Daphnia pulex: one gene and its partners. Each later gene encodes a partner of the first gene's protein in a complex. Links are inferred from orthologs where the notes say so. Each region holds a gene or a part of one and is shown on either strand. Other genes may lie near its edges. The genes, in order: eukaryotic translation initiation factor 3 subunit A-like, eukaryotic translation initiation factor 3 subunit J-like, eukaryotic translation initiation factor 3 subunit I-like and eukaryotic translation initiation factor 3 subunit D-like.

Region 1 (4,374 bases):
TGAATTACTTTTTGCCCAATTGCTGTTTGGCTAAACTGAGCAACCTTCTCTTTGAGATGCCTTGCTTGAACTTGGCGAAGTTCTGCTTCTTGACGAAGCCTCTCTCGTTCTTGTCGCTCAGCTTCAAGACGGCGTTGTTCTGCTAGCAACTGCTGCCTTATCAGCTCCTCCTGACGACGACCTTCTTCTTCTTCACGTTCAGTATTCAATTTTTCAAGGTATTCCTTGCGATCTTCAATAATCTTTTGACGGCTAAGAAGTTGGTGGTGGTCTCTAGCCTAAAATAATCACATTAAACAAATTGCTAACAACGTAACGAATGGAGTTATAATTACTTTATTTTGATGATAAAGTGCAGCGATCTGGACTTTCAACTGTCTTTCTTCTTTAGTAGGAGCATTACCAACAACAGCAATTGTCGCTTTGTTGAGAACGCAGTACATTGTAATCAAATGCGTACGTATCTGTTCAGAAGGCATAGCCTAGAAAAGTTATAAAATCAGAAAGAATTAAAAAAAACACAAAAAAAAGATAAAGCTAACATTTCATTGGTCATGACTTTTTAACATTTCTACCTGTAGAGTCGGTCCTTCTGGTAAATCTTCGCGTTGAGCTTCAAATAATTCAGTGCCGAAGTGAAGACAATTGTTACGGTGATCAATCCTTATTTGCATATCGGTATGACGGACTGCATTAACAACAATGCGTTCCAAGTCAAATGGAGATGCAAAGGGAGCCAATTGCACCAAACGTTCGAATCGGATAGTCGAGTAGAGCTGGGCTATTTGCTTTACCAATCTGGTAAGCGTGATTTCTTCCAAGGCATGAATATATTGGTTCAAATAAGATGTCTCTTCGACTTCGGCCATAAACGCTAGAATGTTCTTGACTTTGTTACATAAATGTAATGGGTCGAACTCTACCTCCAAGAAATGATACAACTGCTGCAACTGAGGCATTGCAGTAGCTACCACACCAAGGCGAACCAAATCTTTAATCAATCCATTACGTGTAGGAGGCTGATTCAAATGAAGAAGAGTAGCTAGTTTTTGCGTTTTTTCCATAGCACTTTTCTCGGTTTCAATGAAACGATCAAATTCAGGGTGTGCAGAGGGTAATGGTACTGCTAAAGTTGCAACAAGTACGCGCGATCCAAGTTTTTGAAGTTCTTCAGTCGTAATATTTTTTTTCAAGTCCCGTGACAGTTGGAAAAGCCGAAACAGAGCTGCAGCGTGGAACAAATGATTTCCAGACTTTCCGAAAACGAGGGCAATTTTCTGATAGTATTGAGCCATTTGTTGAGGACGGGGCATTTTCTTAGCCAATATCATTAATCCGTGAATGTCTTCAATGGCTTTATATGCTTCTTGCCACAACTCCATTTGAATGGCGAAATCAAGTTGCAAGAGTCTGGTTTCCAAATTCATTTGTTGAGTCTCAGGATTACTCAAATTAACAGCAGTTACAGATGGGGTTCCTTTCACCTATGATATAAATATTGTCTTTTAACACATTTCTAAACAAATAATAATTTAAAAAATAATTTTCTTACCATCAAAGCAAGATGAGACCTTAGATTCTCGCAGAGCTTACGAAACTCGGTTTTCCGAGCATACTTCAGACAAAACTTGAAGGCATGTTGAGCAGTATCATGGTACAGTTTCTCAACCCTTGAATTAGTTCGAAGCAACTCTAAACACTGTCTGTATGACTCCCAAAGAAATTTGACCCATGGAGTCAAAATCACACGGTCAGACCTGTCTTGGGCATCTTCTCCACTGACAGCACTGAGCACAAAGAAATCATGATAACATAATCAACCAGAAAAAAATGCAATGAATTGACTACCTCAGAAGTATACTTTCAGGAGTAGCAACATTGTCCAGATCATCAATATCCACAACAGCTTGATGGGATTCTTGACGTGCTGCTTCTGTTTTTTCCTCAGCTAAATTAAGGTAGAATCGTACAACATTTTCTAATGATGCAACATTTACCTGTAAATAAACAACAATCATCATGAGTTTGTTAGAAGGAAAACATGAAACAAGTTAATCCTTACAGATTGACACATGTTACGGTATTGGAACAAGCCTTCCTTAGCCATGTACGCCTTTTTCAAATCCACACAAAGTTCCAAGTATTTGATCATTATGGGTTCTAGCACTTTTTCTGAATAAGTTGTTGACCGATATTTCTTGCTCTTAATAACTTCAGCTAGGGCATCCAAGGCTCGAATAGGTTTCCCCACTTCAATGAACTCTGTAACAGAAGTAACAGCATTTTGTCAATAAGCGAGCGATATAAACCGGTGAACACAACATTTAAGAAATCAACTTGAGTAGTAATTAGTAAAGTACTCGTGAATAACAAAATACAGACCATTTGCTCTTTTGAGTGCATTTTCAGGTCGTTGATAGAAACGCGACATTTTTATATTCTCATAACACGTCGATCAGCAATCAGAACGCTTCTCTTCGCTGGCAATTGCTCAAGCAACGTGGCTGGGGCAAGAAAATGGCCGTCCAAGTTTTTAGACAACTGTGGTTGGGTTTGGTTAACTGGTTAACTATTCAAGCTGACTTCAGCTACGGGCCACAAAGCGCATGGCCCTGCAATGTGTTTGATAGAAATCGTCCCTAGGTTATTCTGCGTTGCCATTTTACAATTCTCAACAACTTTTTCCACAATTAGCAGCAATTAGTAACATATTTGCTTCTTGTTACGAATTGCGAATGTCGATGCCCACCACTACCCATGATGTTGCACCTTAGAATACCCTTTTGTTTTATATTTGGATGTTTTCACATTAAAGATGGTCGGGCTCTCTTTCTAATCTTCATTAATTTTCATCCCCAAACAGGAAAAAAACTTGTGCGTTTTTTCTTAGGTTGTTTGTTTTTCTTGTTAACAAATTTACCAGGTTTGTTCTGGCAGGTTCTGGCAAAATGTCCCATTATTCCAGACATGTAAAATACTTGGTCGAGTGTAAAAAAATAGATGCGTGCAACCCTGGTGTGTACTGAGAACTTTAAGGCCATCAAAATATAGTAGACCAATTGAAAAACAATGGATACAGATTACAGATACAGAACAGGTCTGGACGCATTCAACGGTCAGTTTGTTTTTATAAGATCTGTAATTCTGTATGATTCTTTTCTATTTACATAATGATTGCAATCTTTCAATATTTAGGCAATTCATCAACAATTGGAAATACTTGAAAACTTTTCCGACAGTAGCGCCGGAAGATAGCAAGGCCCTCTATGAGGAATTATCAACATAACACCAGGAGTCCTGTTTCTCAGATGCCTTGAAGTCGCTTGAAGTTGCAGGAAACTCAAACACAGCAATATAGTATTTTGTTATTTTTGTTACTTAATAAAAAAATGCAAAATTTATGGACACACAAAGTTTTTTTTCTTATTCCTCTTTACACTAAATCAATTTAAAGTTAGGAACGAAACGAGATATTAAAAATATTCGCTTTTCGACCGCTAGAGTGCTCTACGCTGGGAGTTTTTTCTCTGTGTGGGGTGGGCATTGTGGATAGTCGAGGTACCCTTAAATCGCGTGTGTGTGTGTGTGTGTGTAGTCTGAAGTGTCAAATAGGGACTGGTTTGTGTAGTCGTGGTAGAGGATTTTTCCTAGCGTCATTCAAGATGGCAGATTCAGCGTTGGAATCAGCAAAGATTGTGACTCTTTCGTATCAATCCAAAGTTAAAGACAACGATGTAAACGATAGTTCTTCTACTACTAACGTGAAAACCCCTGCTTGTGGCAGCTTGCATCCATCGTCACCCAGTCGAATAATGGATGGTGTGGCAACGGGCAACGTGCCGTTAGACAACCAAGCGGCCTCTACAACAAAGAAAACAGCGGATTCTGACAAGAAGAAAAAGAGTAAGATGGCCGATGAGGCTAGAAGCAATTCACGGGCGTATGAAGCAATCCGACTGACTAGTGGTGGTGAAACTCGAGAAATGTCTGTTAACGAACATTTTGATGGTCAACAACGTCGGTCACTCATAACATCGGCTCTCGTCAATGATGAAAAGAAACGTCGGCGCTCAGATAGATACGACAGTTCAGAAAGTTCAGACAGGTCAGTAAATCTAAAAGATAATTAATGAAAGTAACAATAACACAAATGAAATAATTCTCTTTGCAATAACTGGAAGATGAATTCTGTAATTACAACATTGTACCCAATTCTGTGCAATATAGTGTTAATGAAAATTTGGTAAATTTTTTTCATCATTTTCTTAAAATATTAGCTATTTTCGTTTTAATTCGTTTTTTATGGTTAGCGTCACATTCGCATTCCACTAGTTCCAATGTTTGATCTTGAATAGAATGCCATACTTGGAGAAT
Region 2 (3,237 bases), on another chromosome or scaffold:
CACTCCAGAAATTCATTAACGAACTTTCTCACAGTGAAACGCCATATAACGAGTTAGAAGTATCGACCAAACAACCACTTTTATGCCACTACTAGTCTGCTACTCAGCAGGAAACGCACGTGCTTCATTTATTGATTAGGCATGCAGCCGGCTGCCACGGCAACGATTTCCATTACATTTTAAAAACAAAACCCCCCTAATCCCCTCTCTTACGCCCACTGGGTATCAAATAAGGATTCACCAGTATACAAATTTGCGGGGTACTCAAAACTCAAATTTAAAAAAATAAATATTGAAAGTTATTTGCTTACTTTTGACAGTGTGTAGCATTCAATGGGACAAATACATCTAACTACATCTAACTTTACAACTGTCACCATCTCCTTTTTTGACGCTAAAAGTAGAAAACTGGAACGTCTAAGAAAATATGCAACTTAACTCTATATATTGAATTAGAATAATTAAGAGGGAGGTTTTAACTTTTAACAGAAATTCAATCTCAATATATCTTAAAACACTGAAAAAACTGACAAGAGCAAAATGGCAAAATCATACATTTATTTTACCAATAAACCTTTTCCCGCCAAAAACAAAAGAAAAACAATTGGACCCTACATGAAGTCGTCATAGTCTCCTCCTCCGAAATCATCACCGAAGTTGTCGACCATTCCTTTGTCCATTTTTAAAGCAACTTTTGTTTTTCCTTTCTTTCCACCTTTTGTCGCCGCCTTCACCATCTTGAGTTTTTCTTCGTGCAAGGATTTGGTAGTTAGACTAACTTTTCTAAGGACTTCGACTTCCACTATGTTGAAAAACTGGGATGTAGAAAAGTTTTTAGCAACCAACATTAGAAAATGTGACTTACATCCAATGCAAACATCTTTAATGAAGTCCTCTATAAAATCATTATAGCACGCTTTAGTTGACAATGACTGAAGTTTTTTCACCAAGTTGTTCTTGAATTCTGAGAATTCCTCTTTAGATGAAGGGTTTGCTTCATCTATGCTTCCCTCTGTAGGCAAACTACCAGTAATTCCTGGAAAATAAAAATAACATTGAGAACAAAATATAAAACAAATCATGCTTAGTGCAGGTCAGCAATACAGTTTCCTAAGACAACTTACCAAAGGTTTCCTTGGCCATTTCAAAATCTGATTCTTCAACTAGTTTTTGTCTCCGAAGCTTTTCTGCTATTCTCTCTTCAGGTGTCATGTTTGCTTCCTGCAATATTTTTCTGGCTTCAGCTTCTTCTCTGCTTTTCTTTTCTTTTTCGGCTATTTTTTCTTCTAATCTTTTACTTGACTTTTTTTTGGTAGCCTGAAAGTAACAAACACATTTTAAATTTTTTGGATACTTTTACGAGAGATCACATGTACTTACTGTGGCTGCTGCTTTGACTTCAGCAGGCTTATTTTCTGTTTCTTCATCTTCCCAGCTATCCTATCATTTATAAACAAGAAAAAATGATAATTTTGAAATCAATCACAACTTTATGTAAAACTCATTGAGCAATAAGAATTTTTTGGCAAAAGAAGACACATGGTAGTCAAGTGAAAGTTGTAAGAATTGGAGCAGAAATAGAAAGGTACTGAGAGAACTTTTTTTCACTACAAGCGCTACAAGGTTCTACCAAATTTGTAGATATACTTACTACTAATATCATCACAATTGAATTACAACTCACCTTGACAGGTTCATCTTCATCCTCACCTTCCCATTTATCTGAAATTATGGCAGTCGTAACTGGAACAGGGACAGAGGGTTCAAAATCTTCGGCATCTATAATCACCACAAAATCGTATTTGATTAGAGTATACGATTAAATGGAACTTTGATATGCACTATTGAGAATTTCATACAAAAAACAGGTGGAATTGAATAACTTAATATAGAAATAATTAAATAAAATCACCCCAATCCGCCTCGGCCTCCATCTTCAACGAAAAATCGTGAACACACTAGTGTCCATGGCAGTTGCCAAATGCTTTCACTTTTCTAATAATGTTAATATGTGCATTACAAAATATTAAATATAGAAACCTAACAATAATTAAATTTTGAAACTTTATTGCAAACCTTTTATTATGAATTATTTAATTTTTTTTACCTGAGATATCTCGTTAATCCCAGCGTTGCTTAGTCTAGTGTTTCTGTCTTCCAGAGGCGCTAGTGTTTGCCTGTTTCCGAACTGCTTTTCTCTGACATTACCTGTTATTTAGCAATTGATAGGAGTTTCTGTCTGTATTAGTTGAGTTGACGTTTCACGGTGACCGTCGAAACAAAAGTTACCGCAAATTGGAGTAACAAAGTGACCGAAGTTAAAAAAAGAAATATTTGATAATGTCTGGATTTGATCAGAATCCTTTTGCAGAACCGGCTGTTTTCAACCCGTTTGCGGTAGATTATTTATAATATGTATATTATACTTACTATTACCATACTAATACCTTGGTTGAAAACTGGTGATTCATGGAGTACTCGCCGCATACAATATGAAAGAAAACCTTTTGAAAAATCACCTTGTTTATTAGTTTAGTGGTAAAGTGGTTGTTTACTTTCACAATAGGATCCATCTGTCCAGCAAGCTGCAGGAAACAATGCTGCGAGAGCTCAGCAAGGTCTTGAAGAATACAACCCTTTTGATGGTAGTAATCAAACTACCAGAGTTTCAATGGTAAAACATAATTTTATCATGAAAGTGGGAAGTGTGTTTGATTTGTTACAAAATTTAAGGACCGTGTTGGTGGAGCCAATCCACCCCCAACAATTCAAGCTGCCCCAGTGATATCTCCAGGACCACAACAACAAGCAGCTATGTCAAATGCGGATTTTCAAGTATTAAAACTTAAAAAGAAAGAAGGAAATCTTTATTCATTATATTGCATGGTTTTATAGAGACGTCAAGAAGAACTAGAGAAGAAAGCTCAAGAATTGCAGAGGCGAGAAGAAGAATTAAAGAATAATGTACCATTCAACTGTAGGAGAGAACAAATTTAAATGAAACTTTACTTTTTAATTTCTGTTATTTACTTCTTCATTACAGCTCAGCGCAATAATTGGCCACCACTGCCTGACAAGTTTTGTGTCCAACCATGCTTCTATCAAGACATCAATGTGGAAATCCCACTTGAATTTCAAAAAATTGTCCGCATGTTATACTATATTTGGATGCGTAAGTTAAACATATCATAGATTTCTTGTTTAAGTTTATTTTTGTTATCAGAAACTTTTATTGAT
Region 3 (3,382 bases), on another chromosome or scaffold:
GTATTTGTAAAGTTCGGATATCTGGCTAATACATCCGGTTGAAAATGAGCCAGCGAACCGATAAATTTCATAAGCCCGGGAACGAGCAGGCGAGGCAAGAGGATCTGCAGGAGCCTCGTCCAAATTACCGGCGAGCTTCTCAATGATTCCTTGTCGCTCGAGATAGTCCCGACCATGTTGGCAAGACGCTAGAGTCGTAATAAGTTCCAATGCGTTCAGCTGGGACAAGAATGTCTCCCATTAAAACTTCTACCAGAAGGAAACTGATGAGCTCTTTCTCTTCGCAAAATGCCAAGTTTTCTTGGGATGCGCAACAGTAGGTGATTAGAATATCGTAAACCCTGTAATGGACTTCGTCAGAAGAAAAAGATTTCAAAAGAATTGTTTGTAAACAATATCAGTTATGTTTTCTCCTCTTAAACAGGCGACTCGAACCTGTTTGTATACGCTTAATTTCGTCTCGTGCCCTCTCTTGAGAAATAAATTTTCCCCCCAAAAAAGATTCTCACTCGAGACCTTTCCAACATGATGTATTCAAATACCTTCTCTTATATCGCCCATGTACACGAAAGTGGTCAAAAAATAAACACAAGACAAGTGTTCATAGATGATGGATTGGGTTCTTCGTAGGTTTTTCGCTTTTCTTCTGGTTTAGTAATCGAATTTAAAGTCAAAGTAAGACTGGTCGAATTGATTCAAACGAACGTAACCATCTTCACCACCACTGGCGTACGTCTTTCCGTCGGGATGGAAGGCCAGAGAATTGATAGGACCGAAATGGCCCTTGACACGAGCGAATTCTTCTTCGAAAACCAGATGGAAGAAACGGGCGTCGAACTTGCCGACACGCGTTGAGGTCGTCGTTACGTCCATGGCATCTTGACCACCTCCCAACACCACCTGAAGATTGAAGGAAAACAGTTAGAATCGATCAACTGAATCATTTAGAAGCTCAAGGATCATACGTGATCCATGATGGGTGAGATGGCGGCACTGTTGACGGGTCGCTCAGTTTTGTAAGTTTTTAGGCACTCTAACGTTTCGGCGTTAAAGAGTTTTGCAGTGCAATCCTTGGATGCAGTGATGAGGAGAGCTCCGTCTTTGGACAGCTGCATGTCGTTGATAGACTTGGCGTGTTCTGAAACCAGGTTGTTCTTCTTGCCAGTTCTGTAGTATAAATAATAAACAGGATTTAGTTTTAAGCACTCAAGGTTACGACAATGTCATTCTCACCTGAGGTCCCATTGGGCCAAGTCACCATTGTCGTGACCAGAAATAACAACCTCATCTAGATTACCCCAAACCATTGATGTGGCTTTAGGGGCATTAGTTAATGGAATTCGCAGGATGGGGTCATTTTCACTGAAGGAAGAGTCAACCGTTCTGACATCAATGATGAAGATCTCTGAAGGGTTACCCATAGTACTGTCTGTTGAGTAAAGGGCCATGTTTCCACTGTAACTGAAGTTGCATGTACGAACTGAAGTCTTGGCTTCAATTTTACCCAAAGCCTTGCCTAAAAAAAAACAAAGAAAAGTTTAAGTCGTAATTACGCAATGGGGTCATTTCTCACTGAACATACCAGTTTGGACATCCCAGATCATGAGCATATTATCACCAGCACCAGACATGAAACGTTTAGTTTCCCAATCAACATCAATCGCCCATACGACACCCTGATGTCCCTCGTAGGTACCCAATCGTTCTCCATTGACTGAATACCAGACACAAGGGTGGTTGTCCTTGGCTGACGAGAAGAGCAAATCTCCATCCCGGTTGTACTTAATTTGCGTGATTGAACGCTCGTGACCGTGAAGCATAAGAGGTTTCTGTGATCAACAATAACAGTGGATTAATATAATGAAATTAAATAACAGAAATGCACTGAAAATTACCATTTTTGTTTATATTAATTGGTCACAACTGTAATAATGACGTACACTTCTTTCGGCGTGGGGCGACTGAGGCCTTTCGACGTTTTTACAACACTCGTCTGCCGGCCCTGCTCGATTTTACAGTGTTGCCACCCACCCACCAAAAAACGAACCATCTTTAATCTTATCAAAACTGTTAAACTTTATACAAAAAAAAAAAAAATTAATTTTTATTCTTTAATCACGCGTAACGTTAAAATGACACTAGCAAAAATAATTTTACTTTTCGATTTGTTTCAGAGGGCGCTACTCGCTAGGGAAGTTAAAGCAGTTTTAACATCGTCTGCTATTCTCATTCAACTATTTTGGCGGGTTCCCTCACATTGCGTGTTCCTTCACATTGCGTGTGTCTCGTGGAACACAATTACCAAAATTATTTATCTAGAATGGTGAATTTGGTTTTAAATAATGTTCCCATTGAATTTCCATTCCAGCCTTATGATGTACAAGAGAAATTCATGGAGCGTGTGATAGAATGTCTTCAAAAAGTAACTAGTGTTGCGTTATCGGTCAGTGGACACCTTGCTCTTATTTTGTTATTCTTGATTAAATAGGGTGTAAATGGTTTGTTGGAATCTCCTACTGGCACAGGAAAAACTTTGTGCTTACTTTGTTCGACATTGGGTTGGTTAGCAACACGAAAAGCACAAATACAGTCTGGTCAATTAGCTGGAGATATGGGAGTGGATATTAAAAATCAATTAAGTAATGCAACTGGGCTTGGATGGGGAGATGCTGCTACTCCTGGAGCTGGAGTACCCAAAATCATTTATGCATCCAGAACTCATTCTCAGCTCAGCCAGGTCATTTCTGAATTAAAACGGTCCTCTTACAGATATATGAAGGTGAGCATTTCCTTCTTCCATTAAAGCTATTTGCCTACATGAAATGGGTTTTGATAACCCTTATTTTATTTTTCTTCATTTAAGGTATGCATCCTTGGATCTCGTGACCAACTGTGCATTCATCCAGAAGTGTCAAAGGAAACAAACAATGCTGTAAAGCTTCACATGTGCCATGCTAGAACTACTACTCGTACTTGCTACTTCCACACAAATCTAGATGCTAAGAAAGAGGAACCAGACTTCAAAATGGATGTATTGGATATTGAAGACTTGGTGACTTTGGGGAAAAAACATTCTGCTTGCCCTTATTTTATGACAAAAGAAATTCGTAAGGTAGCTGACATCATCTTTATGCCATACAACTACCTTCTTGATCCTAAAGTGAGAAAAATTCACAACATTGAACTCCAGGTAATTCCCAGTACATTTAGTAGTCTTTAAAGGTGCATGAAATATTAACTTCTTTTTTTGTGCTTGTTTAGGGAAATATTGTTATATTTGATGAGGCCCACAATGTTGAGAAAATGTGTGAAGAATCTTCATCTATTGAACTTAGAAGTTTAGATATAGCCCTTTGTGTTGATGAAGTCACCCAGGTAAACG
Region 4 (3,960 bases), on another chromosome or scaffold:
TCTAGGAATCCCAGTTAAATATGGTTCTGGAGCAGGATCAAAACTAAACCAAGCAGTGTTGGGTGCTGGTGCAGTTTCTTCCTTGAATTTGAACTACTCCGATGCTGGTCTATTTGGGTTCGTGGCCGCTGCCCCAGCCTCAGATGCCGGCAAAGTTGTTTCCGCCGCTACAAAAGTTTTGCGATCAGCTTCAGTCAACGAAAGCCAATTGAGCCGTGCAAAAGCCCAACTTAAAGCCGACTTGTTGATGGCCAAAGAGAACACTGGTGTGTTAGTTGAAGAGTTGGCTCTGCAAGCGCTTCTCAACCGGGCTGATCTTCTTTCTACTGTCGATAATGTTTCAATTGCTGACGTCAACGCTGTAGCTTCCCGGTTGGCTTCTGCCAAGCTAACTGTCGCTGCCATTGGAAACCTGAGCAACGTCCCGTTTGTCGATGAATTATAAAATTTTGAATAGGTCTCTGAATTATAATGTAGTCTATATCTATATTTGCACAGTGGCCCATTAGAAAATATCCAGATCGAACGGTTAATCATTCTTAAGAGCTGAAAGAATACACGTGCCCTGTACAGAATATCCACAGTTTCTCTAATCACTCTAATACTGAAAAATCTTACCTCACAATTCCTCTTTATGTTCCTCTTTCGCAAAATTAAGATTGATACGTCATTCATTTAAAAAACGAAGATACATGGAGGAGAAAGTAATGATTCTCTACTCTCGAAAGAAAATTTGTGCTATCTTCGAAAAGACAACAATAATATGTAATTAAAAAACATTTCTCTCTAGTGGGCTTACTTATATTTTAATGAAGTGTGGGGTTTCCGTGATCTTACGTTCAATCTGGTGTAACTTTCTAAAGTAATGTAACATATTTCTTCATCTGAGTCTGAGCTTGACTCTGGAGGGATTTTATAAAAAACACCATATTCCAGATCAGAATACATTTAGTCATTTAGTATTCTGGCCATTTTTTTATTATATTTTTTGTATTTTTTAGCTGATTTAAGATTTTCATACTTCAGTATCTTATTATAATTGCGTCTAAATTAAAAATTTGTGATTGAAATTAAAGATATGCTAATTCGGAATTATTAGGAAAACAGTGGAAAAAAGTAAAGCGGCAGAAAGGTATAAACATCATTTTCAACAATGGCAACAGTGGTATACGTAGCATCCGGTACTAAAATGGCGATTACCATGTTCTAACTTGTAGCAAGCTGTCAGCCAGCCGGTCTAGTGAGAAAGTGCCTACGACTAAATTCTGAAAAGTTATTTTCATAAGGTCACGTTAAATTGTATAACATGGCGGCGCATTTTGTTCCACCAGCGACTCAAGACAATAATGACGGATGGGGACCTTTAGGTATTCCCGACCGCTACAAAGATATGCCATATCAACCATTCTCGAAGGTAACGTTTCATTGCCGAATTTTGTATTAACTTCTTCTGATGTTTTGTTTAATTTATTAGATGTCGGAATGGGCTGGTGGAAGCAGCATCAATTATTCCTTTACAGACCGCAAGTATGGTGGTGGAAAATACTCTGGAGGGGCTGGTGGAAGCCAGTATGCTTATCTGCATGATGAGGAAGAGAACAGCTTTCAGCTTGTGGATACTGCAAGGACTCCAAGACCAATGTATGCTAGAGGAAGATTCCTTCGCAACCAACGGCTTGCAAGAGGCAGACAAAACTTTAGGAATTCTCAGCCTGTGCCACTTAAAGGTAAAGTGTTCAAATAGCAATTAATAGCAACAGATTGTTTATACATTTTCTTTGAAGGTGGCAAGATGAAGGATAACCGAATGAGACAGACTAGGAACAAGTGGAATAATAGAGGACCTCGTCAAGTAAAGCTTCTCACCTTACCGATTATTCAGTCTCATACTCATTTTTTAAAAACTTGTAGGGCCAAATTCAGGTTAAAAACCGTGAATCATCAGTTATTGTTCAGCCTTCATGGAAAATCATTGAAGAGATGGATTTCCCCAGGCTCAACAAACTTTCTCTGCGTCTTAGCAAGGAAGCTTCTGATTTGTAATCAACTATTTAAACTAAAACCTTTCACATGCTGATTTTAAAATAATGATATTATTTTATTTTTCCAGACTTACTTGTGGTGAACTCGAGTTTTATGATAAGCAGTACGACCGCGTAACTGTGAAAAATGAACGAAGACTGCAAAGAATTGATCGTATTTTTCACAAGGTCACCACAACTGATGACCCCATTATCCGCAAAGTAAGAAACAGTAGTCACATTCAAGTCTTACGCGTGGTAGTATGCTAATTCTCAAATTCATTAGTTGGCAAAAACTGAGGGTAATGTCTACGCAACTGATTCCATCTTGGCTACTTTGATGTGCAGTATTCGCTCCAACTATAGTTGGGACATAATCGTCCAGAAAGTTGGTGGCAAACTGTTTTTTGATAAACGTGATGATTCGGAATTTGGTACGTACCTTTTGGCCACTGAGGGAGTTTGCAATGATCTATAATCTTCCCTTTTCCCTAGATCTGCTAACTGTATCCGAAACATCCAATGAACCTCCTCAAGAAGAGGGCATCAATAGCCCACGTAATTTGGCACTAGAAGCGACCTTTATTAATCATAATTTATCCCAACAAGTCCTGAAGATGGTATTTATAATAGGTTTTATAAAATGGCATAAATCCCTAATTTTGTCGTTTCATAATCTTGTAGGGAGAAGAAAAATTCAAATTGGATGAGCCTAATCCCTTCATTTCGGAAGATGAAGTAGGTGAAGTTGCCTCGGTGGCTTACCGTTACCGTAAATGGGATTTAGATGGGGGTGTTGTTCTGGTGGCACGTTGCGAACATGACGCTGTCACCGTTGGATCGGCTGGTGATAACCAATTTATCAACATCAAAGCTCTTAATGAATGGGACTCAAGGGTATGCATATTCACTGTTCGTAATGAAACTGTGTCTTTAAAATGATTTTGTACTTCAAGTTGTCTGGTGGAGTCGAATGGCGCCAGAAACTGGACACTCAGCGAGGTGCTGTTCTGGCCAACGAGCTGAAGAATAATGCATGCAAGCTAGCAAAATGGACTGTGCAAGCTCTGCTCGCCAACTCTGATTGGATTAAATTCGGGTATGTGAAGACTCCTGTTGTCCCTCGAATATTATTGTAACTAATATTGTTTACTTCAGATATGTTTCCCGTATGCACTTACGAGATACATCGCGTCATGTAATCCTTGGAACACAGCAGTTCCGCCCGTCAGATTTCGCATCGCAAATCAACCTTAACATGGACAATGCTTGGGGCATTCTCCGTTGTATTATTGATTTGTGTATGAAGGAAGAGGATGGCAAATATTTGTTGGTGAAGGATCCTAACAAGCCCGTCATCCGCCTTTACAAGGTGCCCGATAACACGTTTGAGAGCGACGATGAAGCATTTTTCGAAGAAGGCGAAGGTTTGTAACCAATCAATATCGTAACGTGCGTGTGTAACTGCTGGCTTGCTTTTTTTGCTTGGGTGTTGGCCTCCCTTTTTTTTTTACTAGCAAAGATTAAATAAACACGTCCAAGCAGTTAATCAAATTTCCCTGCATTTGTACGCCGTGTTACGTTTTGCTTGAATTCGTAGCTCGAGCTTTGTATATATGTATAATATCTAACCACTAGTGGAAGTGCTTGGCTTCTTGGGGGAAAAAAACCTAATTAGATACGCGACATGACTTAAGGTAGCTTTAAAAAAGGCGCTATTAAACGCATGATTTCATAACGTCAACCACGAAATGGTAAATAATAATGTATTTATTTTTTACACATGAATAGAAGACGAGTAACGGCTGATACAAACAAAAGAACAGCTCTTCCACCAATTCCCCAATCTACAACAGTACTACGTTTGTAATGATCGTTACATGGAATAAAGCACTTATGAAGCTTCCAGTTTACTTATACAGCTTTACTTTGTTTGATT

The links.
Region 2: eukaryotic translation initiation factor 3 subunit A-like (region 1) and eukaryotic translation initiation factor 3 subunit J-like share a complex: the UniProt entries of both Drosophila melanogaster proteins name them as parts of the eukaryotic translation initiation factor 3 (eIF-3) complex. The link is inferred for Daphnia pulex from reciprocal best matches to the Drosophila melanogaster genes eIF3a and eIF3j.
Region 3: eukaryotic translation initiation factor 3 subunit A-like (region 1) and eukaryotic translation initiation factor 3 subunit I-like share a complex: the UniProt entries of both Drosophila melanogaster proteins name them as parts of the eukaryotic translation initiation factor 3 (eIF-3) complex. The link is inferred for Daphnia pulex from reciprocal best matches to the Drosophila melanogaster genes eIF3a and eIF3i.
Region 4: eukaryotic translation initiation factor 3 subunit A-like (region 1) and eukaryotic translation initiation factor 3 subunit D-like share a complex: the UniProt entries of both Drosophila melanogaster proteins name them as parts of the eukaryotic translation initiation factor 3 (eIF-3) complex. The link is inferred for Daphnia pulex from reciprocal best matches to the Drosophila melanogaster genes eIF3a and eIF3d1.

What each region holds. Positions count from the first base shown.
Region 1 is NC_060026.1:6,108,772-6,113,145, reverse strand, and holds the start of eukaryotic translation initiation factor 3 subunit A-like, read right to left. Parts: upstream 2,874-4,374; 5' UTR 2,432-2,873; coding exon 2,383-2,431; intron 2,263-2,382; coding exon 2,063-2,262; intron 1,998-2,062; coding exon 1,849-1,997; intron 1,788-1,848; coding exon 1,553-1,787; intron 1,485-1,552; coding exon 576-1,484; intron 483-575; coding exon 336-482; intron 279-335; coding exon 9-278; intron 1-8. Other genes in the region: zinc finger protein jing-like, read left to right, coding at 3,663-4,105. UniProt on the Drosophila melanogaster protein: RNA-binding component of the eukaryotic translation initiation factor 3 (eIF-3) complex, which is involved in protein synthesis of a specialized repertoire of mRNAs and, together with other initiation factors, stimulates binding of mRNA and methionyl-tRNAi to the 40S ribosome.
Region 2 is NC_060019.1:7,843,354-7,846,590, forward strand, and holds eukaryotic translation initiation factor 3 subunit J-like, read right to left. Parts: upstream 2,000-3,237; 5' UTR 1,935-1,999; coding exon 1,913-1,934; intron 1,780-1,912; coding exon 1,685-1,779; intron 1,441-1,684; coding exon 1,381-1,440; intron 1,318-1,380; coding exon 1,125-1,317; intron 1,037-1,124; coding exon 866-1,036; intron 803-865; coding exon 612-802; 3' UTR 538-611; downstream 1-537. Other genes in the region: secretory carrier-associated membrane protein 2-like, read left to right, coding at 2,341-2,397, 2,567-2,674, 2,734-2,835, 2,896-2,977, 3,044-3,172. UniProt on the Drosophila melanogaster protein: Component of the eukaryotic translation initiation factor 3 (eIF-3) complex, which is involved in protein synthesis of a specialized repertoire of mRNAs and, together with other initiation factors, stimulates binding of mRNA and methionyl-tRNAi to the 40S ribosome.
Region 3 is NC_060019.1:6,193,279-6,196,660, forward strand, and holds eukaryotic translation initiation factor 3 subunit I-like, read right to left. Parts: upstream 2,046-3,382; 5' UTR 1,899-2,045; coding exon 1,896-1,898; intron 1,830-1,895; coding exon 1,583-1,829; intron 1,517-1,582; coding exon 1,234-1,516; intron 1,168-1,233; coding exon 966-1,167; intron 901-965; coding exon 652-900; 3' UTR 514-651; downstream 1-513. Other genes in the region: regulator of telomere elongation helicase 1 homolog, read left to right, coding at 2,321-2,422, 2,489-2,779, 2,864-3,190, 3,262-3,375. UniProt on the Drosophila melanogaster protein: Component of the eukaryotic translation initiation factor 3 (eIF-3) complex, which is involved in protein synthesis of a specialized repertoire of mRNAs and, together with other initiation factors, stimulates binding of mRNA and methionyl-tRNAi to the 40S ribosome.
Region 4 is NC_060023.1:3,616,111-3,620,070, reverse strand, and holds eukaryotic translation initiation factor 3 subunit D-like, read left to right. Parts: upstream 1-1,160; 5' UTR 1,161-1,306; coding exon 1,307-1,414; intron 1,415-1,474; coding exon 1,475-1,727; intron 1,728-1,784; coding exon 1,785-1,852; intron 1,853-1,911; coding exon 1,912-2,039; intron 2,040-2,110; coding exon 2,111-2,243; intron 2,244-2,307; coding exon 2,308-2,455; intron 2,456-2,516; coding exon 2,517-2,641; intron 2,642-2,705; coding exon 2,706-2,918; intron 2,919-2,977; coding exon 2,978-3,120; intron 3,121-3,179; coding exon 3,180-3,448; intron 3,449-3,770; exon of another isoform or gene 3,771-3,812; coding exon 3,813-3,823; 3' UTR 3,824-3,934; downstream 3,935-3,960. Other genes in the region: cytochrome b-c1 complex subunit 2, mitochondrial-like, read left to right, coding at 6-445; L-allo-threonine aldolase-like, read right to left, coding at 3,936-3,960. UniProt on the Drosophila melanogaster protein: mRNA cap-binding component of the eukaryotic translation initiation factor 3 (eIF-3) complex, which is involved in protein synthesis of a specialized repertoire of mRNAs and, together with other initiation factors, stimulates binding of mRNA and methionyl-tRNAi to the 40S ribosome.